4 linked regions of the Saccharomyces cerevisiae S288C genome follow. The gene in region 2 interacts genetically with the main gene of each other region. Each region holds a gene or a part of one and is shown on either strand. Other genes may lie near its edges.

What was found.
Region 1: of FZO1 (region 2) and MLS1, changing one suppresses a phenotype caused by changing the other (phenotypic suppression), as found in Saccharomyces cerevisiae (one study listed by BioGRID).
Region 3: of FZO1 (region 2) and ECM19, a mutation in one rescues a mutant of the other (synthetic rescue), as found in Saccharomyces cerevisiae (one study listed by BioGRID).
Region 4: of FZO1 (region 2) and OM45, extra expression of one rescues a mutant of the other (dosage rescue), as found in Saccharomyces cerevisiae (one study listed by BioGRID).

Annotation. Positions count from the first base shown.
Region 1 is NC_001146.8:404,792-413,282, forward strand, and holds MLS1 (malate synthase MLS1), read left to right. Parts: upstream 1-1,566; coding exon 1,567-3,231; downstream 3,232-8,491. Other genes in the region: DCP2 (decapping enzyme complex catalytic subunit), read right to left, coding at 1-773; ubiquitin-conjugating protein DMA2, read left to right, coding at 3,550-5,118; YNL115C (uncharacterized protein), read right to left, coding at 5,328-7,262; DNA-directed RNA polymerase core subunit RPC19, read left to right, coding at 7,980-8,408. UniProt on the Saccharomyces cerevisiae protein: Malate synthase which takes part in the glyoxylate cycle. MLS1 activity is essential for cells to grow on oleic acid as a sole carbon source.
Region 2 is NC_001134.8:585,204-594,938, reverse strand, and holds FZO1 (mitofusin), read left to right. Parts: upstream 1-5,824; coding exon 5,825-8,392; downstream 8,393-9,735. Other genes in the region: SMP1 (Smp1p), read left to right, coding at 75-1,433; 40S ribosomal protein eS6 RPS6B, read left to right, coding at 2,165-2,170, 2,523-3,227; DTR1 (Dtr1p), read right to left, coding at 3,480-5,198; EHT1 (medium-chain fatty acid ethyl ester synthase/esterase), read left to right, coding at 8,777-9,735. UniProt on the Saccharomyces cerevisiae protein: Essential transmembrane GTPase, which mediates mitochondrial fusion.
Region 3 is NC_001144.5:901,358-908,664, forward strand, and holds ECM19 (Ecm19p), read left to right. Parts: upstream 1-1,708; coding exon 1,709-2,047; downstream 2,048-7,307. Other genes in the region: STE23 (metalloendopeptidase), read right to left, coding at 1-1,303; CCW14 (Ccw14p), read left to right, coding at 2,367-3,083; ART10 (Art10p), read right to left, coding at 3,392-4,948; ATP10 (Atp10p), read left to right, coding at 5,722-6,561; SUMO ligase CST9, read left to right, coding at 6,593-7,307. UniProt on the Saccharomyces cerevisiae protein: May be involved in cell wall organization and biogenesis.
Region 4 is NC_001141.2:89,788-97,775, forward strand, and holds OM45 (Om45p), read left to right. Parts: upstream 1-3,831; coding exon 3,832-5,013; downstream 5,014-7,988. Other genes in the region: TMA108 (Tma108p), read right to left, coding at 161-3,001; VHS2 (Vhs2p), read right to left, coding at 5,278-6,588; YIL134C-A (uncharacterized protein), read right to left, coding at 6,735-6,938; flavin adenine dinucleotide transporter FLX1, read left to right, coding at 7,608-7,988.

The sequences.
Region 1 (8,491 bases), on a different chromosome or scaffold from region 2:
AACAATTTCAATTGTTCTTCCGCATAGGATTTCAATTGATCTTCATTTTTTATTTGCCTCTGATGCCTTAACCACATTGATAAGGGTCTCATCATGGAATTAATCAGATAATACTTGATATTTGATTTGTACATTGTTTTAGAAATTTTCTTAAAATCGAACCATTCTATCTTATCAATTTCATTTCTAACTTGAGGTTTAAAATTGAAGACTTCTGAAACACCAGATATCAAAAATATTTTGTAATTTTTACCTTGAATATTTCTTTCAATGAATTGGTTGTCGTCAATATAGTCCGTCAAATCGAAACCAATTTCTTCTTTCACTTCTCTAATGCAACAATCTATGTCATTTTCATCTTTAGATATCTTCCCCCTTGGGAATGACCAAGAATCCGATTCAGTACCCTGTACCAATAAAATTTTACTCAGGTTCTCGTTAAATATGGCAGCGCCCCTCACCGGTATACTTTTCTTATACTTGGAGAATTGCTGGAGTGCCTCATCCACTCTTATGTCCCATTTCCAAACCAGAGGACATAGTTTTATGATCAATTGAGCAAATGATTTAATCTTTAGGGAGGGTAAAGTTGGATTCATCAATTTGATGAAATCCGTGTAAAACCATGAGGCTTCTTCAAAATGAAATAACTCTCTCTCGACACTCGATAAATCTTCATTCGGACAATTTATAATAAAACGTACTAATAAGTCCTCTAAAATTCTATCAACAGAAGTAACGTTCTCCAATGCGTGTCGTAGCGGCAGTGACATTGTCTAATGCGAAGGTACTTTTATTTTTTTCAGATTCAAAGCAATATTATTTAGACAATTGATACTAAGTGAGCTTAAGGAGGATTAAACAACTGTGGAATCCTTCACAAGGATTCAATATTTGTTTTTCCTGGTTATTTTGCCATCATTCAACTTTCCTCAGACGTAAAATTCGTGCTTAGTGATGTCTCAATATTCCCGCAGGGTAATAAAATTCAATAACTATCACTATATACGCAACAGTATTACCCTACATTGCTATCGGCTCAATGGAAATCCCCATATCATAGCTTCCATTGGGCCGATGAAGTTAGTCGACGGATAGAAGCGGTTGTCCCCTTTCCCGGCGAGCCGGCAGTCGGGCCGAGGTTCGGATAAATTTTGTATTGTGTTTTGATTCTGTCATGAGTATTACTTATGTTCTCTTTAGGTAACCCCAGGTTAATCAATCACAGTTTCATACCGGCTAGTATTCAAATTATGACTTTTCTTCTGCAGTGTCAGCCTTACGACGATTATCTATGAGCTTTGAATATAGTTTGCCGTGATTCGTATCTTTAATTGGATAATAAAATGCGAAGGATCGATGACCCTTATTATTATTTTTCTACACTGGCTACCGATTTAACTCATCTTCTTGAAAGTATATAAGTAACAGTAAAATATACCGTACTTCTGCTAATGTTATTTGTCCCTTATTTTTCTTTTCTTGTCTTATGCTATAGTACCTAAGAATAACGACTATTGTTTTGAACTAAACAAAGTAGTAAAAGCACATAAAAGAATTAAGAAAATGGTTAAGGTCAGTTTGGATAACGTCAAATTACTGGTGGATGTTGATAAGGAGCCTTTCTTTAAACCATCTAGTACTACAGTGGGAGATATTCTTACCAAGGATGCTCTAGAGTTCATTGTTCTTTTACACAGAACTTTCAACAACAAGAGAAAACAATTATTGGAAAACAGACAAGTTGTTCAGAAGAAATTAGACTCGGGCTCCTATCATCTGGATTTCCTGCCTGAAACTGCAAATATTAGAAATGATCCCACTTGGCAAGGTCCAATTTTGGCACCGGGGTTAATTAATAGGTCAACGGAAATCACAGGGCCTCCATTGAGAAATATGCTGATCAACGCTTTGAATGCTCCTGTGAACACCTATATGACTGATTTTGAAGATTCAGCTTCACCTACTTGGAACAACATGGTTTACGGTCAAGTTAATCTCTACGACGCGATCAGAAATCAAATCGATTTTGACACACCAAGAAAATCGTACAAATTGAATGGAAATGTGGCCAACTTGCCCACTATTATCGTGAGACCCCGTGGTTGGCACATGGTGGAAAAGCACCTTTATGTAGATGATGAACCAATCAGCGCTTCCATCTTTGATTTTGGTTTATATTTCTACCATAATGCCAAAGAATTAATCAAATTGGGCAAAGGTCCTTACTTCTATTTGCCAAAGATGGAGCACCACTTGGAAGCTAAACTATGGAACGACGTCTTCTGTGTAGCTCAAGATTACATTGGGATCCCAAGGGGTACAATCAGAGCTACTGTGTTGATTGAAACTTTGCCTGCTGCTTTCCAAATGGAAGAGATCATCTATCAATTAAGACAACATTCTAGTGGGTTGAATTGCGGACGTTGGGACTATATTTTCTCTACAATCAAGAGATTAAGAAATGATCCTAATCACATTTTGCCCAATAGAAATCAAGTGACTATGACTTCCCCATTCATGGATGCATACGTGAAAAGATTAATCAATACCTGTCATCGGAGGGGTGTTCATGCCATGGGTGGTATGGCTGCGCAAATCCCTATCAAAGACGACCCGGCAGCCAATGAAAAGGCCATGACTAAAGTCCGTAATGATAAGATTAGAGAGCTGACAAATGGACATGATGGGTCATGGGTTGCACACCCAGCACTGGCCCCTATTTGTAATGAAGTTTTCATTAATATGGGAACACCAAACCAAATCTATTTCATTCCTGAAAACGTTGTAACGGCTGCTAATCTGCTGGAAACCAAAATTCCAAATGGTGAGATTACTACCGAGGGAATTGTACAAAACTTGGATATCGGGTTGCAGTACATGGAAGCTTGGCTCAGAGGCTCTGGATGTGTGCCCATCAACAACTTGATGGAAGACGCCGCCACTGCTGAAGTGTCTCGTTGTCAATTGTATCAATGGGTGAAACACGGTGTTACTCTAAAGGACACGGGAGAAAAGGTCACCCCAGAATTAACCGAAAAGATTCTAAAAGAACAAGTGGAAAGACTGTCTAAGGCAAGTCCATTGGGTGACAAGAACAAATTCGCGCTGGCCGCTAAGTATTTCTTGCCAGAAATCAGAGGCGAGAAATTCAGTGAATTTTTGACTACATTGTTGTACGACGAAATTGTGTCCACTAAGGCGACGCCCACTGATTTGAGCAAATTGTGATCTCCCTTGCCCCAGTGTACACATATATAAAAATATATTCATGCCTATATGATTATGTATCGGAATCCAAAAACTTATCTTTATATTGCTTCGTTTCGTAGTTAGCAATGAATCATCTTATCATGATTCCTTTTTTTGTTTTGGCCAGATTAATGTATCACGGTCGACGGCGAAGGCATCAACCATTGTTGTGGAATTTCAAACACAATACTTGATGACTCCAAACGTGGGCATATATTTTGATTTGAAAAGAAGTCGAGAAAGTATAGCAACGCATTGTATACGTTTGAAGCTTTCAGCAAAGGATATACCGTGGAAATGTACACGCCTATCCCTGCTAATACCCCTGCTCCCACTGCACCAACTTCATCGATGACGTCCAACTCTTCATCCGCATCAAATGCCAACACCACTAGCAGTAGTGGCATAAACCCAAGGAACAGAGCCAGTGGTACTCCATCCAATGAGCGGGCTCGTCCGGCGTCGGGTATCAGTTCGTTTTTGAATACCTTCGGAATTAGGCAAAATAGCCAGACAGCTTCTTCTTCTGCGGCTCCTGATCAGCGTCTATTCGGCACAACCCCATCTAACTCACATATGAGTGTGGCCATGGAAAGTATCGATACCGCTCCGCAACAGCAGGAACCACGTCTGCATCATCCTATACAAATGCCTCTGTCGGCCCAGTTCCACGTTCATCGCAACTATCAACTCCCCATCTCCATATCTCTCACTGCCCCTACAACCACAGACCACCAGCAATCATCTGCGCATAATTTCGAAGGCAACAATGTTGGTAACGTTCAAGAGTCTTTGAATCAGCGGCAGCCTAACGGTACTAACAATACCACAACCTCGATAATTTCCATGGCGCCAGCGGCTACAACGAGAAATATAGTCGGTGGTGCAGATGGATCTACTATTGTTAACAACAGTCAGGAAATGTATAAGAATTTACGTCACTTGATATATGCTGCAAACCAGCCAAATGGGACCGAAATTTTACATTTGGATTTACCTGCAACAAGTGCAGAGGAGTCAAACAATATGTTCAATGTAGATGAGGTCACTTTGAAGCAAAGGAAAGATAAGCATGGTCTTTTTAGTATAAGACTAACCCCATTTATTGATAGTTCGTCCACGACAAATCAAGGTTTATTCTTTGAACCGATTATAAGAAAGGCTGGCCCTGGATCCCAATTGGTTATTGGCCGCTATACTGAGCGTGTTCGCGATGCAATTTCTAAAATACCTGAACAATATCATCCAGTTGTATTTAAATCCAAAGTTGTTTCAAGGACACATGGTTGTTTTAAAGTTGACTCTCAAGGTAACTGGTATATAAAGGATGTGAAATCATCTAGTGGAACTTTCTTAAATCACCAAAGGCTCTCACCCGCTTCCTCTTTATCGAAAGATACCCCTCTTCGTGATGGTGATATTTTACAGTTAGGAATGGATTTTAGAGGTGGCACGGAAGAAATCTATCGTTGTGTAAGGATGAGGATTGAGCTAAATAGATCATGGAAACTAAAGGCAAATTCGTTCAACAAAGAAGCTTTACAGCGTTTGCAGAATTTACAAAAATTAACTACAGGTATTGAAGAAGAAGATTGTTCGATTTGCCTATGTAAGATCAAACCGTGTCAAGCAATTTTCATATCACCATGCGCACATAGCTGGCATTTCCGTTGTGTAAGAAGATTGGTCATGCTCTCATATCCGCAATTTGTTTGCCCCAACTGTAGATCAAGTTGTGATTTGGAGGCCTCCTTTGAAAGTAGTGACGAGGAAGATGAAAGTGATGTGGAAAGTGAAGGTGATCAACTGGTGGATCAACTTAGCGTCTTAATGGAAACTTCAAAGGATGTTGATAGCCATCCTTAAGGTCAAAGAAAATACACAGTTTGAAAAATAAAGAAAAACCACCGAACTCCACATCTCGTACCTTAATATTATTTTAATTATTCTCTTAGTATTTATATATTTGCGCCGTTTACATATTTGACTTATTGTTTTCAGGAATACAATACCTCCATCGTTGGCAGTCAATTTTGCTTTCACATATAAAACTAAAAAAAAAGTAAAGAACTCGGTTAATCCTCGGTTAGTTTGCCAAGCTCACCTATTAATCTTAATAGGACTTCTTGAGTTTGTTGTTTGCCCAGACCATACTTATATATTTCATGCCCACCTTCAACTATTTTCCATTCTTGAGTCTTGTGAGAAATTTTGGTCAAATCTCTTTGCCAATCGCCCCATAATGCCGACTTCTTCACCATTTCCTTAGAGCTAACGATGCTTGTCTTCACATTTTGCAAAGATTCTGCATTGTTTGTCACATCTCTGTAACTTAGAATTGAACTCGTCACGCTTTCCAAAAACTTGGAACGCAAGAAACGTCCTTGATATTTCATATCACGCCCATATATACGTTCTTTAGACCCATGATGAGCTAGTAACCATGAAGTCTGTAATCTCCATCCTAAACTCGACCAAATGCCTTTCCACCATAATCTAAATTCGTTATGCCTTTCTATCTCCGAAGGTAACCAAGTCTTATCATGGTTGCGGCCATCCCCATCATTACCATTGCCATCGTCGCCATCGTCGCCATCACCACGGCCTGGAGGTAGTAATCTTTGAATGTAGTTTTTTAACAATAGTTCTTCATGCCATGATTCAACAAGCATCATGCTATCCACAATATCGACATTCTTGGCGGTAAATACTCTTGTAAATAGCCCGCCAAGGTCGTATCCTACTGTAGTGAAGGGACCTTTAATTTTTGCATCTTTGATCAATGCGTACCTTAAAGATTCCGCAACCATCGCAATAGAGATTGGGGCGGGAGGAGAATCGCTCAACCCGTACCCTGGTCTATCGTATAGACAATATCTTTGAATTTTGTCTAAATGATATAGTTCCTCAATCCAGGTGGCAGAAAGGTAACCAGTATCATAACCTCCGTGTTCAAACAAGATGATAGGTTGCTTCTTATTTTCAGACAAATCTGTGTTGTTTTCTTGATCAAATACGTCACCATAACAAGTTATATGCAACTGATAGGTTTTAGCGGCATCTACGTAATGGAACGCCTCGTACGAGGGCGACTGAACGGTTATTGGTAATTTGTGAGTCAATCTGTAGGTATCCAATGTCGTTAAAAGTGTATTCAGGGTGAATAAAGCGAAGAATATTAAAATTAAAAACTTAATAGTATTCCTGAACCCAATGGATACCCATTCTGTCAATGTATGTTTGTTTTGGACCAGCTGCGAGCGGTGGGTGGGGGTTGGCGACCCAGAGCCATATTGGCTTCTGTCCCTGTTTTCGGTACTATTTGTATGGTTTTCGTTGAAAGTACTAATATTAGCATCATCAATTCTGCGTTCCTCCAATGGCTCATTTATTGAGTTGTTGTAAAACAAGAGATACCAATCTAATATTGCCCCAATAAAAAATGAAAACGAAGTCCACAAATATGTAAACGTGCCCACAAAGCCGATTCTTTGCCTAGTGTATTTAATTAGATAGGTCAATGCTAGATTGAACAACGTCAAAACACAGAGAGTTACATTTAAGCTGTAATCTAAAGCTGAGTACAGTCCCAGCTTATTAAACCAGAGATTGAAAGAATTAGCTATGATCGAGATGAATATTAAAGTCAAGTCGTTAAAACTTGCGTACCTGTTACTGAATCCGAAAAGAATATTGATATTGAAAAAGAAATCTGAAATCAAAGTGGTGACTAGCCAGATGGTGTTAATTAGAATTAGGATATTTAATATCCATTTGGAGTTATGAATAAAGATTCTATAACCTTTGCGAATTTGAAAGAGACTATCTTTGATGAACCCATCGGATTCAATGTCACGACCTTCATTAACTGCTGGGCCATTCGCGGATCCTGCACCAAGGGTCCGGTGGTTGTTGTTCAGCAACGGTTGCGCTTCTGGGTGTTCACTATCTATATCTGTTCTTTCCATTCCCGTCCTTGCCGGATCATTATCTAAACCATTAGCCTTCATGATCTGTTCGCTCTGATGCCTACAGTTCTTTCTTCAATGGCTTTCCTTTCCTTTCCTCCTTATAGAATATAGCAAGGCATCTAACTTTTAGTTTTTCTCTCATCCCTTTAAACTGCACGATGGTTAAAATTAGGGGTCCGAATAGCCTTGCAAGGAATAGATTAAAGAACACTATATATGCATAGCCACTTCAAAACGTGCTGAGAACATGCCATCAAGGTTGACCAATACGATTGCTGATTCGACAACTTCTACATTACATAGGCATATACATATCAGAAAAACGTGCTTTATAGGTACATTTTTTAATTCCTTAAACATAACTTGCTTCTATTTTGGGATAGTTCCTTTTCTTTGAACTACGTTTTTTGGGCAGAAATATAAAAAAAAACCGAAAAAAACGGCACGCAAGAAAGCTTATTCAAAAAGACGCAACAATATCATAGATTATTCTAAGTACCAACAACGTGATAAACTTTGTTCTAATAAAGCTACATCTTATCTCTTCTGTACAGCTTTATTGGGGTGAATCATATTTACTTCAATCCGGGTAATGGTAAACGTAACAAGTGATAGAAATATTCACCTGCGATGAGCTGGAAAAAAAAAAAATTTCAAAAGAAAACCATACTAATGCTGAGGTATAAAGTAACGAATTGGGGAAAGGCCATCAATCCAAAGTCGGAAAAATTGAACTTCACATAAAGTACCAGGCAAATGACTGAAGACATCGAACAAAAAAAGACCGCTACAGAGGTAACACCACAAGAACCAAAGCACATCCAAGAAGAAGAAGAACAGGATGTTGATATGACTGGCGATGAAGAACAGGAAGAGGAACCAGACAGGGAAAAAATTAAGCTTCTCACACAGGCAACATCTGAAGATGGAACTAGTGCCTCTTTTCAAATTGTAGAGGAGGATCACACGCTTGGAAATGCCCTTCGTTACGTTATAATGAAAAATCCAGACGTAGAATTTTGTGGTTACTCGATACCTCATCCTTCTGAAAACCTATTAAATATCAGAATTCAAACCTACGGTGAAACGACCGCGGTGGATGCTCTTCAAAAAGGGCTAAAGGACTTGATGGATTTATGTGACGTTGTAGAATCTAAGTTTACTGAAAAAATCAAGAGCATGTAGATGTTACGGATCGACTCAAAGACCCTCTGTCACTCTGAAATTTCTAATAATTATGCACACCACGCTAGTATAGATACAGCTTG
Region 2 (9,735 bases):
CTATCTCATCAGAAAAAAATTTAATAAAGCTCTAGATAAGCAAACACAATTATTTTCAAAAAAATTTCTGCTAAATGGGTAGAAGAAAAATTGAAATTGAACCTATCAAAGATGATAGAAATCGTACAGTTACTTTCATAAAGCGAAAAGCAGGACTATTTAAAAAGGCTCATGAATTGTCAGTACTTTGCCAAGTAGACATTGCTGTCATTATTTTAGGATCCAATAATACATTCTACGAATACTCTTCTGTTGATATGAGTAACCTGCTTAATGTTCATCAAAACAACACTGATCTTCCTCATAATATCATAGAACCATCTGATTATGGTGACTATGTGAAAAAACCACGTGTTGTTCTGAATGAAAGGAAGCGCAGGCGAAGAAGAGCAACCGTGTTGCAACCAGCTTCCCATTCTGGGAGTTGTACAGTTTCGAGTCAAGATTCCTCCAGTGTACAAAACAATGGGAATTTAAGCGCTCCGTTGGCGTCAAATGACGCCGGGAACGCTGGTGTAAGTACACCATTGGTGCATTGCCACGGAGCAATATCACGTAGCGGATCCAATCATTCTGACTGTGCAAGAAATAGTGCAGATTATCAAATGTTGCAAGGCGGTTTAAATTCTGGTGGGAGTTTTCATGCTAATGATTATAAAGAAAGCGTAGACCAACAGCATGTTGCAAACGAGGCTATTCATAGGAATTTTATGAACAAGAGGATTAGGCCGGATACTCATTTACTACTTTCTGAATCTAACCACTCTAATTATCATAATTTTTACCCGTCGCCTTACGAGAATTTGCCAAAGCCTTCATTGCCTGCAAGTTTAGTGGGCAATATTCCATCCTTTCAATCGCAATTTGTACAGGTTATTCCGGCAAATAGTAACCCAATGGGAAAAGGATTTAATGGGACGGGTGACAGCGAGAGCTTTGAAGCAAAGCAAAAGATACACCCGACAGTTGCTATATCAAATACTTTGGAAGGTCCAGCTCCAGTGCAGGCGATGGTCCATCACCTGCACCAACTGAACAGCAATAGAGGAAAGCTCTCAGGGAAGCCATATTTAAAGCTAAATATTCCGAAGGCCACAAATGACGCTTGCCAGAGGTCGCCAGCAATGTATTCAGGAACCGCATCACCGAAAACGGATGTACAAGCCACTCCCAATCAAATGCTCGCCAGCAACATGTCCTCCCCTCTTTCTCGTTCAAAGTTTTTGGGATTCAAGAACAATGATATGGACGACTTATATCATAATGGCCGATGTGGCAGCACTTATGTAAATAACAAAACATTCTTTCTGAAACCGCCAATTGGAAGACCGCCTAAATTTCCGAAAAGCCCGTCTTCATCTATTGTGGTTTTTCCTTCCTCGGTAGCTAGTTCAACTTTGAAATCCACGAGTTCGACAAACTCTCCAGATTAATGAATCGCTTTCTAGCTACTTTTTACTACAAGAAAGCATTCGCTTAAAATTAAGAGTGTATGTTGGCGCATTTAGGCAAACGTCTTCTAAATTAGGGCTATAGACAATTATGTCGCTCGTACATTTTTCAGATGTAGTGACGCAAATTTCTAGCAATTTGCAGGTAGTGCTCCACGGCCCCCTTCCAATTTTTGTGCACTCAATCGATCAAAACAATAGAGACTGCCCTGTTAACTTCTCAACATAATTATGTAAAAAATTATCTCATTAAGCCAGATAGCAAATATATCACATATTGCATTGATTAATTTGAGAAAAATATACATGTATCTTTTCAGTTAATTTTATTAAAAATAAATTATTTCCTTACTTTTTTTTCTACAGTTTGCACCATTAACCTCTTTTCTTGCATCCATACATCTTTGAACTCCATACATCTTATTTTTTTGCTGTTTTTTTTCAGTGTCTCGGGCATACAGGCCGCTTATCTTCATGCCGGCCCATCATCCTAGGAAACTCTTTCGGTATGGGCCAAGGGCAGGCGAAAATCCTATGTGCGTGGAGCTGATACAATCTCGGCTGGCTTGGTTTGTAGGGCACGGTCAATGAATGCCTGATGGGAGAAAAATTCATCTTTATGAAAAGTGATCTTAATTTGAATAGTGTGCCCTTCAAAACATTTGGAAGTCATTAATTGAAACTATCCAGTGTGAATAGACGACTGAGCCATCATGAAGGTATGTAATATCACCCAAATCCTTAGAATTCTAATGAATCAGCACGCGCTAACCGGCTGTTTCTGACTGTTTGATAAACGTATACCCACAAATTAGTGCACTATAATAAAAATTCTCAAGAACAACGTTGTTTAAACGAGATAATTCCCTCTAATATACACGTACCGACACTTAGGAAAATATCTCGCTAAGTTCAAATTAAGGAATGAAAAAGGAATTTACGAAAAGGGTTTAGAAATATCAATGAAAATAAGAAAAACCTGTAACGGAAGAAAGGACAGCAGGGATTCGTTGGAATTTGTCGATATTGGCTTCGGACAACTTTACTAACAAATGGTATTATTTATAACAGTTGAACATTTCTTACCCAGTCAACGGGTCTCAAAAGACCTTCGAAATTGATGATGAACACCGTATTCGTGTTTTCTTCGACAAGAGAATCGGTCAAGAAGTCGATGGTGAAGCCGTTGGTGATGAATTCAAGGGCTACGTCTTCAAGATCTCTGGTGGTAACGACAAACAAGGTTTCCCAATGAAGCAAGGTGTTTTGTTGCCAACTAGAATCAAGTTGTTGTTGACCAAGAACGTTTCTTGTTACAGACCAAGACGTGATGGTGAAAGAAAGAGAAAGTCCGTCAGAGGTGCCATTGTTGGTCCAGATTTGGCTGTCTTGGCTTTGGTCATTGTCAAGAAGGGTGAACAAGAATTGGAAGGTCTAACTGACACTACTGTTCCAAAGAGATTGGGTCCAAAGAGAGCTAACAACATCAGAAAGTTCTTCGGTTTGTCCAAGGAAGATGACGTTCGTGATTTCGTCATCAGAAGAGAAGTCACCAAGGGTGAAAAGACTTACACCAAGGCTCCAAAGATCCAAAGATTGGTTACTCCTCAAAGATTGCAAAGAAAGAGACACCAAAGAGCTTTGAAGGTCAGAAACGCTCAAGCTCAAAGAGAAGCTGCTGCCGAATACGCTCAATTGTTGGCTAAGAGATTGTCTGAAAGAAAGGCTGAAAAGGCCGAAATCAGAAAGAGAAGAGCTTCTTCTTTGAAGGCTTAAGTATGTCTTGGACCTGCATAATTTTTATACTTTTTCCTTTTAGATATATGTACTTTTGGCTTAATTTAATATAATTAACTATAACTTCGATTTTATTCTTTGAAGGTCCAAATGCACGTAATTCATAAACTTATGATGCATTGTTCTATTTCTTGAAGTCCTTGGGATGAGTGATGAGAAAATTTTCTTGAAAGTTAAATAATATAATAAAATTCTAAAAGTTAAATTTTATAGCTAAACATAAACTATTTCTTAAAATTCTTTGGCAGTATATTTTCTTTGAAAAATGAGAAGATATAATATACCAATCAATGAAATTGAACTGCAGAGACCGAGCCCTGTAAAACACCATCCAATTCCCATTGCGTTACAGAGCTGTAAAATGATAGCGGAACTAATGGCAGCGCCCACATTTCGAAAGAAACTACTAACAGCAACAGTTCCAGCAGCTCTTTTGGGGAATAACTCAGTTAAATATGTCATTGATGTGTTGCTGCACCAGGTCATACCAAAGGCAGTGAGAGCGGAAAAAACTAAAAGAACCACAAAATGATAATGAAAGAAGATTGCCCATCCGTATCCTATTGTGCCACATATTGTTAGTAAAATTCCAATTAGGTTCAGTAATAAACGAAACTCTGCCGGGAATTTCTTTTTAGGATGACTTTTGATCCAGCGTGAACGAAGATAATCTGAGAGGTGCCCACCAGATTGAGATCCTAGTAACATAGCTACACCTGGGCAGACATAAGCAGCACCAATTTCTAACATAGTAAAACGGTAGTCATGTTCAAGGTAATACGAAAACGTGACGCTGAACGCATAGTAACTGGAGAACAGGAGTGCAGTACTGACGGACGTGATTATTATTGGAGGACATTTAATCATTTTCCAATATAGTGTCAAACCTGCTTTAGGCGGCTTTGGAAAATTTTCTTGGAAGAAAGCATCATTATTGACTGGTTTACGGATACCAATGTCTGGGAACAGACGCCGATGTGATATTTTATTACCTTCGAAGAATGGAGATTCGTTATTTTCACGTTCATCTTTTTTGTCACCCCATTTAGGGTCTCCATTACCAACTATACAACGTAGCGTTTCTGGAAGTAAAGCAGTAACCAAGATCAATGCTATTCCTGTCATGATAGAAGTGAAACCAAAAAGCCATCTCCAGTAATTTCCTTTCATTAAAATAAGCCCAGCAACAATGGGTGCTATAATAGGACCCATGTTTGGACCCATCATGAAATACGCTATGGCCTTTCCCCTGTGTTTTGGAGGAACAACGTCTGTTACAGTGCCAGCTCCCAGAGAAATCACAGAGCTGGAAGCGAAAGCTTGGAAAATTCTTAAAACAAAAAGGGCAGCAATATTGACTGGTACAGCGGCCAAAAGTATATTAACAATTAACATTAGTGATAACGACACCATATATAAGAATTTCCTTCCACCAAAATCCGCCAGTGCGCCCCAAAACAATGGACCAACGGAAAAAACAGCCATAAATACAGAAACTGTAGCGTTTATTGTTGTTGCACTTACATCATATTCCCTTTGCAGCAATGGTAAAGCCGGTATATATATGTTTCCAGACATTGGGCCCAAAAATCCTATAAAAATGATAATTCCAAAAATGATTAGTCTTTGATCCTTGGAAAAATAAGTATATGGAATATGTGCTTGAGTATCAGGAGAAGGGTCTCTTGACTGGGAGTTCGATGACTTTACAGCAACTTCCTCTTCTTTTGTTTTTGCTTTCTGTGCTGACAATGATGGGGAAGAGTCAGGGTGCTCATGAAAGACATCATGATCTATATTGGCTCTCTTTTGGTTCACCTGATCCCAGCTTTCATTAATTACATCATCTCCTAGATCTTCTAGCGAATGAAATGTTGAGCGGGTTGTTCCACTTTCTTGCGAATTAATTTGCAGACCCAAATTCTTTTTCTGAAACGGTTCGCTTCCCATTGCCTTAATTCTTTTCCCAGCTCTTGAAACTCTTTTTTGAAAAATTACCAACAACAACTTTTCTTACTACCATCCTTCTAGCCTTATCAATATTCTCATATATCTTAAAATTGCAATTGTTGTTACAAAGGAGTTTGTGTCGTTTTTCACCAGGTGACAGAATGTCTGGGTTGAAAGTATCAATGAAAAAAAAAAATGTAGAGAGATGCCAAAACAGTGGCCAACAGGCAGCTTTGGCTACGGAAATGATTTGGAAACCTGCATAAGTATTTCTCCGCGAAATTGGGAAGAGTGATATGGATAGTTGTGATCCACGGTATATAATTCCTTGTGATCCCTTATCTGGCAAGATAGCTATAGTATTACTAATACGTGGCGCTAGTATAATAACTCGCGCAAAGACCGAACGGAGATTAATATTTAAAAGTTGGTGCGCAGTCCGGGTAAATACAGCTTTTCATGCTGAAGAATATGGCCGGGCTAATATTAATTAAGACGGACGATGCATTATTGAAACAGGATAACGCAGGTTACAGTAGCCCTTAATAAATAAAGCAAAGTACATCCGAACATAGCAACATTATCTGATATCACGGATAGAGGCAAAACGGTAGGCTCATTTAACGATGTCTGAAGGAAAACAACAATTCAAAGACAGCAATAAACCGCACAAGGACTCCACAGATCAGGACGATGATGCCGCCACAATAGTACCACAAACTCTTACTTACTCACGCAACGAAGGTCATTTTTTAGGCAGTAATTTCCATGGAGTAACTGATGACCGTACCACTTTGTTTGATGGTGAAGAGGGGCGTAGGGAGGATGATTTGTTGCCCTCATTGCGTTCCTCCAACTCAAAAGCACACTTAATTTCTTCACAACTTAGCCAGTGGAATTATAACAACAATAGAGTACTTTTAAAAAGATCTATATTAAAGACACAAGCTTTTATGGATCAACTTCAAGAAGAAAATAATATTCGCCCGATTTTTATTGCTGCAAATGATGAACGGGAAAAATTACATGTTCTACAACTGAATATCAAGCTAGATGGTCAGTACAATACCAAAGAAAAGAACGGTTTCAACATTGAGAAAAAAGCTTTATCAAAATTATTTCACTCTCAGATCGTATCAGTGACAAATCATTTAAACGCTTTGAAAAAAAGAGTGGATGACGTTTCATCTAAAGTATTCATCACAGGTGATGTAAATACTGGTAAATCAGCTCTTTGCAACTCTCTATTAAAGCAGCGTTTGCTACCTGAGGATCAGCTACCATGTACCAATGTATTTTCCGAAATACTAGAGGCTCGGGAAAATGACGGCATAGAGGAGGTTCATGCCATACCACTAAACATTGCTCCGACTCTCAAGGAAGCCATTGATATGTATTCAATACAAAATCCCAAGACTTATGAAATACACACTTTGAAAGAACTTCCCGATTTGGTTCCCCAAAACGGAAAATATGCTTTACTGAAGATTTACATAAAGGACGATAAAAGGCCTGCCTCTACTAGTCTATTAAGGAATGGTACTGTTGATATTTCATTAATTGACTCCCCTGGGTTGAACATGGACTCGTTACAAACCGCCGAAGTAATGTCCCGACAAGAAGAAATCGACTTAGTTATATTTGTTGTCAATGCAGAGAACCAGCTAACACTATCTGCCAAGGAGTTTATTTCTTTAGCATCTCGTGAGAAAAAATTAATGTTTTTTGTTGTGAAAAAATTTGACAAAATCAGGGACAAACAACGTTGTAAGGAGTTGATCCTAAAGCAAATCCGTGACCTGTCCCCAGAAACATATAAACGTGCAGCTGATTTTGTCCACTTTGTTTCCAAAAACGGAGATGAATTGCCACATTATCATAATGAAAATGACAATGAAGATCATGGTGACCGAAAACCTGACGACGACCCATATTCTAGCAGCGATCCCGATCCGGATTTTGACAGTCTGGAAGATTCTCTACGCAATTTTGTTTTGAAGAAAAGATCACTTTCTAAATTGTTACCTGCCAAGACTTATCTATCGAAATTATTAAGCGATATAATAATGATCTCCAAATCTAATATGAAAATGTATAGTGAAGAAGAAATAAAAATTAACGAACAACTGGAAACATTGAGACCTGAAATTTTGAGCGCTAGAGCAAAGTGCAATGATTTAACAACTTCCGTTGATCAAATGGCCGAGCAAACAATTACAATGACTTATAACAATACTAAAGAAGCACTTCTCAATGCGTTGGATGTTCCGCTACACGAATATCCGAAATATCAGGGCCTCGGTCAAATTTATGACTTCATATTTTCAACAGAAGCGTTCATAGCAAATCAGATTGATGAGTCAATAGGATCAAGTGAATTATTTGCCAAGCAAAAGACAGATTTACTGGTAAAAAAAATTTATGAGATTGGAAAAAATGAACTTGGTGATGATTTCATGTGTGAACGTGTTTTCAGAAGCGAACTAATGTTTAGAAAAAGGAAGCATTTGATAGGAAAAAGGCTTAAAGTATCTTTGTCAATAACTGATTTGTTTGCTCCAACTTGGAAAGGCTTTTTGTCTTACTTAAGCTGGCAGAAACCTGTCACAGCACCACTGCCGGATATAGAAGGACAAACTAACGAGGGTCAGATTGGCCTAATGAAGTATTTGGGTTTGAAAAATTATCCTTTGACACAATATTGGTCAAGACCATCATTGCTCTTCACATCAAAAATTCCCACTCTAACGCTGTACTTTCTAGGAAGTACAAAGGTTGTGGGGAACATTATATTAAACGGCATTAAATTATCGTCGTGGAGCTCACTCAAGAAGTTATCAGTTCCGGTTATAGTGGTAGGTTCCTTGTTGGGACTTACGTATTTAATTCATGACCTCCCCCGTGCCTTACCAATGAATCTTTCCATTAAATACAAAAGAAAGTTGCAAGAACTGGATTACATTCATCTTAACGCTCAAAGAACCTCAAATGAAGTACGTGATGTTTTGCGTGTACCTACACGTGAAATTCTAAGGTCGTGTGAAATAATTATGGATAAAAAACAAATCACTAAGAAAGAATTGGAAAACAAAAAAGAAAGTAACTTGTTGTCAATCAAATTCTTCCAATCTCTATACGAAGGAACCGTGGCTCAAAAATTGATGGTGGAAGAAATAAATTTAGACATCGATTAGATATTCTTGTAAATATATGAGGTCTTTTCAAATCAATATACATAATGTTACTTATTATTTTATTCCAAGCAGGTCCATTTTTTTTTTCACTTTGCACGAAATTACATAAACATTAAAAGGACCCTTGTGTATCTGCTTAATGATTTGCAAAACCTGCGGAAACGGAACGAAAAATGAGCAATCTCGTTCCGGTTCCGAGATCCTTTTTTTTTTTTAAATCTTGCGCATGTGCAGATTTTAAAAGGCGTCAGATATCGGATGTCCCTGGAAGTAATAGCTCCTCGAGTATTTCCTCCGTTTATTATTAATATGAGCAGTTTTTTAAGTTCTATTATTACATTGATAGTAGTTGCGTAAAAAACAAAGCTCATAAAAGTTTCCGATATGTCAGAAGTTTCCAAATGGCCAGCAATCAACCCATTCCATTGGGGATACAATGGTACAGTTTCGCATATTGTCGGTGAAAATGGTTCCATTAAACTCCATTTAAAAGACAACAAGGAGCAAGTTGATTTTGACGAGTTCGCTAACAAATATGTCCCAACGTTGAAGAATGGTGCCCAATTCAAATTGAGTCCTTACTTGTTCACAGGTATTTTGCAAACTTTGTACTTAGGTGCTGCTGATTTCTCTAAGAAATTTCCTGTATTCTACGGCAGGGAAATTGTCAAATTCTCGGATGGTGGAGTTTGCACCGCTGACTGGCTCATAGATTCATGGAAAAAGGATTATGAATTCGATCAAAGTACTACGAGCTTTGATAAAAAAAAATTTGATAAAGACGAGAAGGCGACACATCCAGAAGGATGGCCTCGTTTACAACCACGTACAAGGTACCTGAAAGATAATGAGTTGGAAGAACTACGGGAGGTTGATCTACCCCTAGTAGTTATTCTACATGGTCTTGCTGGTGGTAGTCATGAGCCGATTATAAGATCTCTTGCTGAAAACCTGTCTCGCAGTGGGAGATTTCAAGTGGTCGTCCTAAATACCAGAGGTTGTGCACGTTCCAAAATTACCACCAGAAATTTATTTACAGCTTATCACACAATGGATATTCGCGAGTTTTTGCAAAGAGAAAAGCAAAGACATCCAGATAGAAAACTATACGCTGTGGGATGCTCTTTTGGTGCTACGATGCTGGCAAACTATCTGGGAGAAGAGGGCGATAAATCACCTTTATCCGCAGCTGCTACTTTGTGCAATCCTTGGGATCTTCTCCTTTCAGCAATTAGGATGAGCCAGGATTGGTGGTCAAGAACTTTATTTTCCAAAAATATTGCGCAATTCTTAACAAGAACCGTTCAGGTTAATATGGGTGAATTAGGAGTTCCAAATGGCTC
Region 3 (7,307 bases), on a different chromosome or scaffold from region 2:
TAAACTTGAAGGTAGCATTAGAGATATCTTGCAGTTCATTGAATATCCATTTTTGAGGTAGTGAGTTTTTCAACATTTCAATATACTGGAAGATCAAGACAATAACATCGCGATAGTGTGTCAACCCGTTGTCTGTTAAATCTATATCGACAGCAAAAAAAGCATTTCCTTTGGACACAGTATGCCCACCAGCAGATAGCTCATTGGCCCAGCCCAATTTTTTCAAATGTGCTAGTAATGAACCGGACCCTTCATGGCCGATTAAATGACTTAATATCCTCGGTGGCTTGGACTCCCAATGTTCCTCCATATCAGGGACAGTGAAAGAGATTTCTAGTTTTTTCAAATCTTTCACAGGACGGACTTGAATTATTTTTTGCAAATGCTCAGGCTGCATAATAGGTTCCGCATAAAGGGGTACTTCACGACCGTTATTGGCTACATCCTTGAAGAGATCATAAGTCCAATCAGAGAGAGTATCAAGGTCTTCTCTACCAAGAATACATAGCTTCATTAGGTTAGCGGAGTAAAAATTCTTATGGAATTTTAACAGTTCATCTCTAACATTTAGTCCATTTTCCTTTGGCAATGTGCCCAAAGTTTCGATGTTTCCTGTAGAAAATTTGTGATATGGATGTTTTGTATTGGTCAAAGACTTGTCTAATTGGTAAATTCTCCAAATATCATTCTGTAAGTTCTTTTTGTTTTCGCTGTTAACGGCGTTGATCTCTTTATCAGTAGAGTCCTTGTTGAAAAGAGGACAAGAGAAAAACCCTGAAAACCTGTCTAGCGCACCAAATAAATGTTGGTGATTAACCTCAAAAAAATAATTTGTGTTTTGCGATGCTGTGTAGGCATTGGATGAACCACCGTGCTTGCTTAAATAGCTCGAGTATTCGTTTTCGTCTGGAAATTTCTCAGAGCCCATGAATAAAAGATGCTCGCAGAAATGCGCCAATCCAGGTAGGTTCTTTGGATCTTCAAAGGCGCCAATATTGACGTCTAGCGACGCTGCTGCTTTATCTGCTTTTGGGTCCTGGATCAACAGAGCCTTCAGCTTATTAGGTAGCTCAATAAACCGATACGATCTTTCGTCTAAATCCGGCTTTAAAAAGTCCAGATTGAATGTCTTAAAATTGGATGTCATATTATAAGGATTTGTTGTGTAATAGCGTGATAAGCACGTGAATGGCTTGAAGCGTCTTACGGTGAAATTGAGACTGATAGGTGAGAGGTGAACCAATTGAGTGAGGAGTGGTTTAGTTACAAATGCAGAAGAAGAAGCTAAAAGAGATACGCCCATACAGAGCAATATCAAAATGAGCAAGAATGAGGTCTTCCGAATGGTTGGTTCTGACTTACTATTTGATTTCACTTTCTCTGATTCATTCAGGAAGAAAAGGGCGAAGTCCTCGAAATGAAAATTTCAACATCATTAACAGACCGGCGCGCGCCTTTACAATTTAGTATGTACGCCACCAATAAAAGCTGCTTAAACAATAAGCTAGAAAGCCCAAAGGGTGTTAAATAGTACAGCGAACCCTTCAGCAACGGTACATCAACAACCCCTTGAAAAGAATAGAGACAATACAGCTACAGTCATCCCCTTCTCTTGTATTTTTGGCCACAATTGATTGTATTACATCATATTTTGCCTGTGCGCTTCTTCTATCTTTTCCGCATAAACTAGGGGAAACGCGATGAAGAAATGGATTGGCTGAAAAATACAACAATTGTAGTGTTATTCAGTCATTCAACTGACAAAAGTAACAAACACAAGAAACGTCAAGTCCAGTGCAATATGCGAAAGAACACTTTAGATATGGTCACTATAGGTATCGCATGCCTTGTGGGAGTCTACACGGGCACGAGATTTTTCGAGCCCATTGTTATCGATAGATTGCGTAAGGATGGAAACTTGAGAACGGACATTCCCATCCCAGAATACGACGAGGACGGAAATCTGTTAAAGGTCACGCCGTCTTTATCATCCACACCAGCTGCACCACCTACACCACCTACACCTCCTACTCCACCACAACAGTAAGGAAGCGTACTAGAAAATACCTCTATACTTTCTTTTCCTGTATATAGCATCAATAGTAAAGCCATTATAACGTTACAAAAACCTATTACCCGGAAAATTACTATTTATAGAAGCATTGGACCCATGCACCACATGCATTAGGACCCATTATTTCTTTTTTACAATTTTTCCGTTAATTTTTCACGAATTTTTCACCGTTTATAAACACTCTCGAACTTATAAACAAAGGGATGATAAATAGATTTCGCCAGTTGTTAATACACACAGGGTCAAAGCTCACAGCACTACTACACTCGTTCAACACTCGTTATATATTATCATGCGTGCCACCACTTTATTATCTTCAGTCGTTTCTTTGGCATTGTTGTCGAAGGAAGTCTTAGCAACACCTCCAGCTTGTTTATTGGCCTGTGTTGCGCAAGTCGGCAAATCCTCTTCCACATGTGACTCTTTGAATCAAGTCACCTGTTACTGTGAACACGAAAACTCCGCCGTCAAGAAATGTCTAGACTCCATCTGCCCAAACAATGACGCTGATGCTGCTTATTCTGCTTTCAAGAGTTCTTGTTCCGAACAAAATGCTTCATTGGGCGATTCCAGCAGCAGTGCCTCCTCATCCGCTTCTTCATCCAGCAAGGCCTCTTCTTCTACCAAGGCTTCTTCCAGTAGCGCTTCCTCCTCTACCAAGGCTTCTTCCAGTAGCGCTTCCTCCTCTACTAAAGCTTCTTCCAGCAGCGCTGCCCCATCTTCTAGCAAGGCTTCTTCCACCGAATCCTCTTCTTCCTCTTCTTCTTCCACCAAGGCTCCTTCCAGTGAAGAATCCTCTTCCACTTATGTCTCTTCGAGCAAGCAAGCTTCCTCCACTAGCGAGGCTCACTCTTCCAGTGCTGCCTCTTCGACCGTGTCCCAAGAAACAGTCTCCTCTGCTCTACCAACTTCTACCGCCGTTATTTCTACTTTCTCTGAAGGTTCTGGTAATGTTCTAGAGGCAGGAAAATCCGTTTTCATTGCTGCTGTTGCCGCTATGTTAATCTAATTATCTATCACTTTATTTCTAATGGGTTAAGGTATCTATCTTTTATATTTCTTATTTCCTCTTCTTATATGATGCGGATGATTTTATTTCTTCAAAAAACATTTTAAAACTCCTCTTTATTTCGTTATGTTCCAGTTCACTACGACTTCTTTTCTCTTAAAGAGCAAATAAAAGTATATAAATCTATATTAAATGAAAATCAAAAAAATATTTTTTCGATCAGCTCCTTGTTCTTTTCATTTCAAAGTTTTTTACATTGTTACACATGTGCATGAATATATATGTTTGCAGAATATTTTTGGCGACGCTTAACTCGCCATTTCAGTATATGTCGGTGGCGGTACATATCTGGGCAGAGCTTCAGCTTCAACGTGCTCTCTAACTTGACAAAAGATCTGAACAGGATCAATGTTTACTTCAGATTGCTTCCTAATTCCATTGATTCCCCATTCTATCAGTAGCTGTAAACTGAATGTTCTTTTTATCGTGCATGTCTTGAAACTATACAACCTATTGCCGCGATGTCTATAGTCTTCTTCATTAAATACCAACTTTCTTAAAATGGGGTGATCCTTTAACCGTAATTCACATTCAAACATAGAACCATCAAAATTTTCTCGTATTTCGTTTAAGTCCAAAAGAGGTTTATTGGATTTGAGCTGATTCAAATCAATCTCGATTAGCTTCAAAGAAGAGTAATTGCCGTTCGCTATTCCCTGAGATAAATATGTTGTAGTCTCTAGCAAGTTCAGTTGTAGTTTAAGTGGGGTAATTTGCATTTTGCTCAAACTTGCTATATTCCCCTCCATGACTACATAGACCTTGTCAAAATTTTGGCTGCCAGACCTAAACAAGTAGTCTTTCCTGTATATTTGCTTCAAATCTCGACTTCTAACCTCTATTCTCATATTGCTTTCCCCATCAGGCAACCCCATTTTATAAGTAGATGGGAAAACTTTCATACCATTTACTAGGCGAGTAGATTGTCTTGTTGATGTGACTGATGATACCGGTCTCGATCTAATGTCGCCGTTTTCTATCAATATAGAATTAGCTTGAGAAAAGTTCCTGTCACTTTTTATATATCCGACTCCATTAACGACTTTGACGTCCTTTGATGGCACCTTTAAATTTGAACTATTGAAAAATTCATTGTTGGTGACCATACTATTTCCTCTACTATTGTTACTGAAGGCATTAAGTTCTTCATTGTCATCTTCATCAGGTTCTATAATAAGATCTTTTGGCTCAGGTATAAATTCGAACGTCTCGATTTCCCTTATCAGTTTATGGAATGGCTTAAACCAAGATGAAGATTTCCCTAGCTCTAATTGAACTTGCACCATATATATAACTTTTCCAAAAGAGTAAAAATACAAATCCAGATTATCGATTTTATTAAATTCTTGCCAATGACTATTGAACGTAGGTGGGAGTCGGGCATTACTTCTTGTCACAAACGCTACTGTCTTTGCCGTATGATTTTTCAGACATTCAGGCTTTCTGGGAAACTTGTCAAATTGAAAGCTATAATTATATGAACCTGGTTTAACTTTGAACGGCTTGGAGGAGCCATCAAGAGCATTCCATACATTATCTGGAGGGAAAACTCTCTGTTCGAATTTCATTAATGTATGAAAGGATTTGTTGTCTTGGCCCGGCATCATCATGCCATTCTGTTGAAACATGTACTCTTGATCAATTTTTGTTAAGGTCTCTGAGAATCCTTTTAGAATGACGGAAATTTTCCTTATAGATAGCGCTTTTGTTAACTGAAGACTAACTATCCCTGACATTTGATCATTAGAGCTATAAAACTCCCCGTTGTACGGTGGGTTTAAGGATATTGAAATTTTTGGAGCCATGGTTTGACAAACTGTATGGTTCTCAACCTTCTCTAATCAAAAGCAGAATCTTAAATATAAACACTCACAGAATATCCGTTGGTCAATGAAGTAATTCTCCTTTGTACTGGCTGCTTTTTCTCCTCTAGTTTATGTAATTCTACTTTTGGATGGGTGCGACTGCTTTTAATTGATTGAGTGGCGGTGTTAGAAGGGCTGTAGAGTCGAAGGCTTGTTTCTCTCTTACGCACCTCTTGTGAAAAGGGCGTGCACCTTCCCCAGGACCCTCTCTCACCCTCAACCCGCATTTTGCTGAGAATTTTCACCAAGGCCCTAGGTGATATTAGATTCCACCTGACTAATTGCATTACAGCCGACCCAAGGCAATATCAGTTTAATAAAATATCATGTATCTCACCCTCTTCTTGGTATTAGTAAAGAGACGCCTGATCTTGTAACAGTGGTGAAGATTGTACTAGAGCAGAATCAAGAATTTAAAAAGTGTAAAGGCAAGGCAGAGGCGATGTACATAAAACTTCGAAGTAAGAAATATTTAATAGTTCTCGCCACATCACTATGCAGCTATATAAAAACTACTATAAACGTTTGTTTTGTTCCTTACGCACAATATCCTTGCCTAGAAATCGTTTTTGAAATTTAAATTTTTATTACCATTTATTTGATTCGCCTTCAGAAAAATATGGAAGAGTGCATATTTAAAAAGGACTATTTCAGCATATAGTAAAAGTCAGGTTATTTGTTTATTTGCGATATCAGAGTAACTTAAACTAACTATGCAGGGCACTTTTAAAAGGTTTTACCATCCCACGCTTACGCGGATGTCCTTCTTGGATAAATTCCTCAAGCCTATGATGGCAACGGCTTCCCCAAAGGAATACCAGATCAAACAACTGGTCAAGCCAATAGGCTTAACACAAGCACCAAGGAAAAGCACCAAATACTCCCAGGGGAACTCTTTGAGGGATATGTTTGATTCGGAAAAGACAAACCACAGAGTTAAAGAGTTGGCCGTTGAATTCAGCAAATCTGGACTTTATGACGTGCAAGTCTTCCAAAAGACAAAGGGGAAATTGTTTATAGCTCCAGTTTCATATTGGAAAGAAGATAAAGCTTTGTTTTTTCCTCATTTGATAGGAACGGCAATGGATGGTACGAAACAACAGAATATCGAGGATATGTTAAGGGGTAAAACCAGTATAGTGAGGTTATTTAGTACAGCATCTGGCGATAAGTTGAGTAGTTCATACTTCCAAGGAATCGTAGACGATAACAAAAAAACTGACTACTTGACTGAAGCTGATGCGCGTTTAAGTTTAAATGACAGTAACGTCCAAATCATCGAGGTCAATCTTGTAGAAAACGCTGTGAAAAGTGCTCTAGTGAAAACGCTTGCTCGTTGGGCCAATCGCGTTCCATCCTGGCGCCAGCCATTTTATTTCGAATGTTCTAGAGGCCAATGGCCATTTTCCGTCAGGGAAGAGCTCTTTTGCAATAATGTCTTTTCTGGATACGTCTTTCTTGTGGACCAGCAGTTAAAAATTAGGTGGGCAGCTTGCGGGGAGGCTACTCCATCTGAAAAGGAAGCATTGTGGAAGTTTGCCAAACGTCTGTGAAGTTGACGCTTTGTGCGGCGGCCAACAAGGGATGGGCGGCTATTTGGCGATCGTGTTCATTCCCCAAACTAACACGAAGAGCATGAGAGAGAAAAAACAAAAGTGCTTGAAACAGGTAAGACGTTTATCATTGATATCACCAAAGAAATATATAATGCCGGATTCTATTTTTGAACAGCCCTTTGTTTACTGTGGTGTTTGCCACAGAAGAACATCGCATGGAGATCCATTGAGGCTGACCTCATGTGCTCATATCCTCTGTTCGCAGCATTCTCCATTAACATCAAAGGTGTGTCCTATATGCCGTTCGAGCGATATCTCCATCATTAACCTTGTGGAATCTAAACAGCTGCCTACCGACATTAGGATTTTTTTTGAGCCACTGCCCCCACTTTTGGAGTCGTTATATAATGTTTCCCAATTCCAACTGAATGGGCTTTCGAAACAGTGTCAATACTATCAAAATCATTGTTTAAAGTTGAGAGAAAAATGTGCAAGACAACAGCAGCTGCTATATCAGGCCAAAATAGAGTTGGATTCTATGGCGATTCTTAAGAAAAGAATACAGGAATTAGAGTCAGTTTTGAATCATAACAATGTTTCTTCGATGTCAGTTGGTGTGCTACCAACAAGAAATAGCCATCAAAATCATTACCAGCCCCCTCCAACCGTTGATCTGACAGTTGATGATAATAGTTTAGAAGAATTCGAAGCCAAATCCTTTATTAAAAAGTTGAAAAAAAACT
Region 4 (7,988 bases), on a different chromosome or scaffold from region 2:
TTACATTCTTTTATACCAACCTATTATTGTTGAATCTACAGGTTTTTCGTAGTATATGACAATAATAACTCGAATTCTGCTAAGAGAACATCGTTTATAGTACTATTTTAGAAGACTACTAAATCTACGTACGATAGTGTGTTGAAATACTTGTAAAAAATCAGACCAAGGAGGCCAAGTCTCTTCTTATAGTCTTTCTGGACTCTTCATCTTGCTGGACAGAGGCCCAGATGTCGTCCAAAGATAACAAGCTTTGACCCAACTTCTCTTTCTCCAAATTAATAAACTTTTCTATCTTCTGTGGCTCGTCTGCTACAAACATTTGAAAGATTATCAGGGAAATACTCCTTAACGCCTTGTGTAGATGATCCCCCGTGGTGGTACCTTTCCTTGTAGCCTTCCGTGCCCATTGGTCAAAATTGCCCATATACCACTCCCAGATCGTTTCACGAACGACTTGGTCTTGAGGTTTCTCGTTTTTGTTCAGCCTCTTCTTAAAGTTGTAATTAAATCCGAATAATGCCAGTTCCATCCCCTCTGACTCAATATTGGAAGTGATAAAATTCAAAGTTTTTTTCACGATATCAGAATCTAAACAGAATCCAAGAGATTCTATTGCACCGTTTTGAATCAACATGGCGGTTTCGCTACTGTTTTGGTCATACATATTAATGACATGGTTTGTGATACCAGTACAGGAACTGCGTTTCACCAAATCGAATATTTTCTTCCACTGCTTGATGTTTGCACAATGTTGCGATACGACGACAAGGATTGAGTTCACTAATTCTAACGGTACGCTCGAACGTGGGCCCTGTAATAGATGTTTAAAATAAATTTGACACAATTCAGCACATTTTGCGGAGTTTTTATTTAAAAACAAGACTTGAGACATGACTTTCAACTCGTGAGGGTTTGTGCTTTTATCAAATTCACCGTGGGGCCAATCAATCTTATTGAAAAGGGGAATGACAATTTTTTTCTTTAAGAAAGATTGTAATTTAGAGCTCGTTAAACTGGCACGATCGATCGTTTGCAGAACTTCCAACCCCTTGGAAAGAGGATCCCAATATTTTGATGCAATCTTTGTGGAAGGAGAAGCGATATGGTTTAGTATCTTAAAGAGACCGTGCAAATGAATAGAATTCTGGAAACCCTCATCTCCAATAAACTGCGACAAGTCTAAGAAAATCTTCCGAAGGTCAATCTCGGATAACGTCTCCTCAGTTATTTTATCATTAATCAATGCATAGCACTCTTCGGACTCATATGAAACGCGGTAATAACCTTGGGCTAAATGGTTAATTACTAAGATAGGATAATCGAACTTTAAGGTCCTATCCGTCAATAGTACATTTTTAGTATCCATTTTACCATCTGGCAGAACCCCGAATAAGGGTACCTGATATGGGACATCTTCTAACTGATCCTTTTCTTCAGTAGATAATTGATTGATAAATCTGTGTTGAGTCAATTTTGTTTGCGTTTTCCCGTCTTTCTCTTCTACTTCGACCTTAACGACAGGTAAGCCTGGCGTTCTTGTCCAAGATGAAACAAAGTTTGTAATATTTTGAGACTTCAAAAATTTTCCGATATGATTCCATATATCCATTGGTTTGACGCTTCTCGCATGAAATGTTTTAGTATCTTCAAATACACTTTCCAGGCCCTTTTGTAGATGAGATTCGCCTGTAGCCAATTGCAGGGACCTCAGCATGATAATACCCTTTGTGTATGCCTCAGGATCAAAAATATCGGAGGTTTGAGAATCTATGCCAGTGTTCCGTTGCGCAATCTGAAATATGCTTCTTCCATTAACGTCAGCTGCATCTCTGCACATGGTCGGCTCCACTTGCTGTAGTAAATAAGGTTCCGAGGTCCAATAATGGGATAGGTCACCATTCTGTTCTAGTATGTGGCAAGCTAACCAAGTAGCGAAAGACTCATTAAACCAAAGAGATTCCCACGAGTCAAAAGATATGTAGTTGCCCATCCATTGATGAACGAGTTCGTGGACAATGAGTTGCTGTGCTTGCTCTCTGACGGTTTCATTGGCCAAGGCATTTGGTGGTATGAGCAGGTGGTTTAGTTGGATGGTGATCATACCAAAGTTCTCCATTGCCATGTCACTTAAATATGGTAGTAGGACGAAATCTAACTTTGGCAGAGGGTATGGACATTTAAAATAGGATTCCAACAAAGGTAGATATTTCTGGACTGTATCTAAAGTGAAAGCTGCATTAGCAATATCCCAAGGTGCATAAATTGAAACGGGAATAGTCCTATCACCTTCCAACTTGATTTCCGTTTTCAAAAATTCTAAATCACCAATAGAAAAACCAAATACGGAAGTAGTCATCAAAGGTGTCTTGGCAAATTTCACCAAATGTTTTTGAGAACTATCCAAAGCTTCGACCATCTCTACAGGAGTATTGGAAACGGCTTTATATTGTGCATCCGTTGCAATGTTCAATTGAAAAGTGGACTTGTTTGAAGGCTCGTCAATACATGGGAAAATATTGCTAGCGGAAAACGGTTGGCAGTGAGTAGCAACGACGTGATTATTGGCAGTACCGGTTTTACGATCCATAAAATTGGTTTTGAAAATACCAAAAGTCTTATCATGATGTGTTTTTATGTCACGAATTTTACCCACGTATTGCACGGACAAAATCAGAGGGCAATCGTTGGACAATTGAATAGGAGATTCAGAGTTGAAAATCGACAAATGCTTTCCAGTGTCCTGAGAAATTTTTAGATCAAACTTAGTAGACCCTATGGTGGCATGTGCAGACAACACAATCAAATCCTTGGAATGTAACTTGAACTGGGTAAAACTGTCTTCGATAGAAGCTAAGGTGGTGGAGTTCGGATTGAATTTCAAATGGATTATGGCGGATCCTTTGAAATTGGGCGACGACTGCTTAGGGTCAATTTCTAGACGCAACTCATAGTGACTAGGCACCACCGGATTCTCTAAAGATAACAAATTATCAGACATGATGGTTAGTGATGATCAACCTGGCGTTATATATCCTTTACACGTCTTCGGACCTTTTTTTTGTATAGCACATCCAGGAATGGTTTGACTGCAAAACTCGTTTTTCACTGAAAAATTACCGGCGAATTGTATAATAGAAAGGATCGATTTATACTAAAGAAAAGAAGGATTAATATACAAGACTACAACCAAGGGTGGTACCTCACTTGAAGGGGGTTCTCAAAGTACTCGAGAATTTTGATATTCTGTCCTGTGTGTGCTGAGCCGTTCCAGCCAGTCTTGTTCCAGAAATATGTTGACAAAATTGAAGTTCGTAAATATATATACATTTCATATAATAATTGACAAGCTGATACATACGGTGTGCGGACGGTTACATTAATGCAGGAATCTATAAATGCTATGGCCAGCTGGCGTCCTTCTGTTATGCAGATTTCTTAAAATAATTGGCATATTGGTGGTAAACATGAAATGTGAAGACGTTGCCCCTCGTCATAGGTAAGCGGTGGTCATCACAACCATCAGCGGTGACAATAACACAGCAAACAGTCTTGTTTGACTCTCCTGCCTGCATGGTGTTTGAAAGTGAATCGTCAGGATTTGCAACAACCAATAGTGTACTGCTATTCGCAGGAGCACAAGCTCGCCGGTGGCCCGTGTGGGTTAAGGGAGGAGTTTGTTGACCCTTATTTTGTCGAGTTCCTTGAAGAGGAGTATATATAAGGGGAAACGGTTCTTGCTAAAGTCCTGCTTCTTTGCCCTTTCTTGAAATAAAGGGTATTTTTGATTGGCCAGTAACGTTAATCATTTAATAAAACAAGCAGATAAGGATGTCATCAAGAATAATTGTCGGCAGTGCAGCATTGGCAGCTGCCATCACAGCTAGCATCATGGTCAGAGAACAGAAGGCCAAGGGTCAGAGAAGAGAGGGCAACGTCTCCGCTTACTACAACGGCCAGGAGTACGGCAGTTCAGCACCCCCACAGTTGGGAAAGCTACATAACATAAAGCAAGGCATAAAGGAAGATGCCTTGTCGTTAAAAGACGCGCTTCTGGGCGTATCTCAAAAGGCTAGGGAAGAGGCTCCAAAGGTAACTAAGCGTGTGATATCACCGGAAGAGGATGCTCAGACACGCAAGCAGCTAGGCCAAAAAGCCAAGGATTCTTCCTCGCAAAGCATCTTCAATTGGGGGTTTAGTGAGGCTGAAAGAAGGAAAGCCATAGCCATCGGGGAATTTGATACTGCTAAGAAGCGTTTCGAAGAGGCAGTGGATCGTAATGAGAAGGAGCTCTTGTCCACGGTGATGAGAGAGAAGAAGGCCGCTCTGGACAGAGCATCCATTGAGTACGAAAGGTACGGGAGAGCCAGAGACTTTAATGAGCTTTCGGACAAGCTAGACCAACAGGAAAGGAACAGTAATCCTTTGAAACGCCTGTTGAAGAATAACACGGGTGACGCTAATACTGAAGAAGCCGCTGCAAGAAGTGTCCAAGGCTGGGGTGATACGGCACAGGAGTTTGGTAGAGAAGAGTTGGAGGAAGCCAAGAGAAATGCTTCTTCAGAGCCAAGCGAGGCGCAAAAACGTCTTGACGAGCTGAAGAAGATCAAGGAAAAGGGCTGGTTTGGTTACAACAAAGGGGAGCAAAGCGAGCAACAGATTGCTGAACGGGTAGCCAGAGGTTTAGAAGGATGGGGTGAAACAGCCGCTCAACTTTCCAAGGACGAAATGGACGATTTAAGATGGAATTATGAGAATTCAAAGAAACAACTGGATAAGAACGTGTCCGATGCCATGGACTCGTTATCTAAGGCGAAGGAGGACTTGAAACAGTACGGCAGCCACTGGTGGTCTGGATGGACTTCCAAGGTCGACAATGACAAGCAGGCTTTAAAAGATGAGGCCCAAAAGAAGTACGATGAAGCGTTGAAAAAGTACGATGAAGCCAAGAACAAATTCAAAGAATGGAATGATAAGGGTGATGGTAAATTCTGGAGCTCGAAAAAGGACTAGTTAGATAGCTAATTGTAAAGGGTTGGTTCCCGCATAACATATATACATATTCACATGTTTCTCATTTTTTATATTTGAAATCACATATGGTCTTTGCTGATTATGGATTGGAAAACGGAGTAAATTAGTGGCATTATTGGGGTATACGTGCATACATAAAATACCGTTATATATCTATATATATGGAAAAAAGAGACTTAAATGAATTTTTAGAGTAGGAGAAGAAGGTTGAAGAAATGAACAATCGCGGCCCTTCAGTTTTCTTTATTTGGTTGTGTCTGGATTCATAGAGGTTATTGTAGAGTTTGAATTTGATTTTGAACTTGGATTCGAGTTTGTGAACGCAGGGCTATTTTTGATGTTATTATTAATAGTATTCTTGTGTTTATTAGTATTATTGTGATTATCGTTAACCATGTTGGCAATTGATGGTGGTTGTGCCAGTTGTGACTGCAATTTTTGCTTTAGATTGAGTTTATCTCTTTCAATCATAGTGTTGTCCTCCTCTTCGGAAGAAAACCCTTCACTGCCACTGGATTCCATATGGAATTTGGATTTAGGTTTCCCGATCATAATGTTGGCAGCACTGCCGGGCCTATTGCTGTTTCTTCTTGAACGGGCGCTCCCTGAAGGTGACCTTTGTTGTTTAAGTAAGTACTGTTGGTTCGATGGCGATCTTGATAGTGCGGCCCCCGTAGTGCTTCCAGCGCTGGTTCCCCCATTGGCATTGTTGATCGTTGTGTTAGAGTAACGTCTAGATATGATGAAAGGGTTGGTGAAGTTCATATGCTGAGGTGGTGATGCCGAAGCTGATGGGGGGGAAGGCAAATGAGAAGGAGAATTCAAAAGGGACGACGAGAACGAGTAGTGACCTTGCATTGGGGGTCTTCTCAAGGGGTTCGCAGTTGATGATGTTGATGTCGCATTACTAACGTTGTTATTGTTGTCATCGGACAACATGTCAGCGTAGGAATAAAACCTTAGTAGTCTTGAACCATGGTCGTTGGGAGATCTTGGATGCGCAGGCGACGTTTCGTTATCAAAAGATTGTGACGAAAGACTTCTTGTCCTACCTAGGGCTCTATCCAGGCCGATGGTAGATGGCCTTCTCGAATAAACCATATCAACGTCATCAAGGCCAGTCGTGTCGTCAGTTACAATAGAACAGCCAGCGTCTAATGCAGGAGGGACGAAATTCTCTAAGGTACGACGGTGATCCAGTGGAGTCTGCACAACAAAATCCGGATTGTATGTCTGGTACGATGCTATTGACTCATTAGTCCTAGAAGGTTGCAAATGTAGATTCACAGCAGACGATCTCTGGCTTAAGTTATGGAAGTTCCTATTACTAGAATTATTATGATTGAACAAACTGGTCCTGCTGCTCTGCCTAGAGAGAGAGTTTGCAGCGTTGTTTGACACCGTTTTATAAAGGTATGATGGGTCCTCTACATTTCTTTCAAAAATCATAGAACTCTCGCTCATGGAGGGGGAAGGTGGCATATAATTATTGTCGTTCTCCCTCTGTGCCGCCACGTGGGAGTCGTGGTCTTGGTTGTGGTTGCTGGTATCCATCTTTGCCGTTTACGTTCGCTTTGCTTGAAGGTAGTCTATCACAAAAGCTTTCAGGATCAACCTTTTGCGCCTCAAGAAATTGCATATCACCAAAGGGTGAGTTTAGTCTGATACTGTTTGTTAATCACCTCACGACTGTTGCAACATTAATATGGCGCACACACCGTGTTACGTGATGAAAATAAAGATAATAAAGCGATAGCATAAATAAAATACCATTTAATACGCTTTGTAAAACAAGCACTAACAAGGCGTTGCTTAATAACAAAATAGTCAGCATTCAACAACGTGAGAAGGATAGCTACGACATCTACATCTGCAGTGTTGTTAAATTCGCTGCCAACAACCATTTATATGTCACCATACACGGTCATGCTCTCTTGCACCATTTTTCTCACCTATATAAAGTGAAAAAGTTTTCGATGTCTCTTCTTCCTTCCTAGTAAACTACACTCCATGTGTTTCTGAAAGGGACCTTCAGGAGGTTACGATCAAGTATCTTGTGACATGCAAGAACTTGATGCTTCGATGGGGGAAGTCTTATTTTCAATGTGTTGAAAAGAGTTAATTATGGAACGGTTGGTCATAGCTTTGTACAGCTCAATGTCGTCATGTTTGTAAGGATACAGGCGCGACTTGATCTGCGACTTACTGCTATCAAACGATAAATTATGTTTTTCTTCGTTTCCTTTTTTTTTCTTTTCAGTTTCCTTCCGTTTATTTTTTTGTTGGATTTATCATGATGAGCATTTATTTTACTGCGTTATCGTATTGACGGGGGCTGTTTAAGTACAGTCTGTTTTATAATCTATATTCATTTATATTTTATATTTCTTACCGAGGAAATTGACTCTTAACAGATTTGCTGAAAGGTTCATCTTACAAAAAAATTGGAAAACTTAAACTGAAAAAAAAAAAGTGAAGGAGTACGTGAAGAGCAGTAGCTTTCATAGGAATATGTACAATATCTTGTCTTTGTACTTTGCAAAACCAGCACGCAGCAGGAAGCTCTTGATAATATGGTCGATCACCAGTGGACGCCACTGCAGAAGGAGGTTATCTCAGGTCTGTCCGCGGGATCCGTCACCACATTGGTAGTGCATCCATTAGATTTACTGAAGGTTCGTTTGCAATTATCCGCTACAAGCGCACAAAAGGCCCATTACGGCCCATTTATGGTAATCAAAGAGATTATACGTTCGTCGGCGAATAGTGGACGTAGTGTTACGAACGAACTGTATCGCGGATTAAGCATAAATTTGTTTGGAAATGCCATTGCATGGGGAGTTTATTTCGGTTTATATGGTGTCACGAAAGAATTGATATACAAGTCAGTGGCAAAGCCAGGGGAAACACAGCTTAAAGGTGTTGGGAACGACCACAAAATGAATTCGCTTATT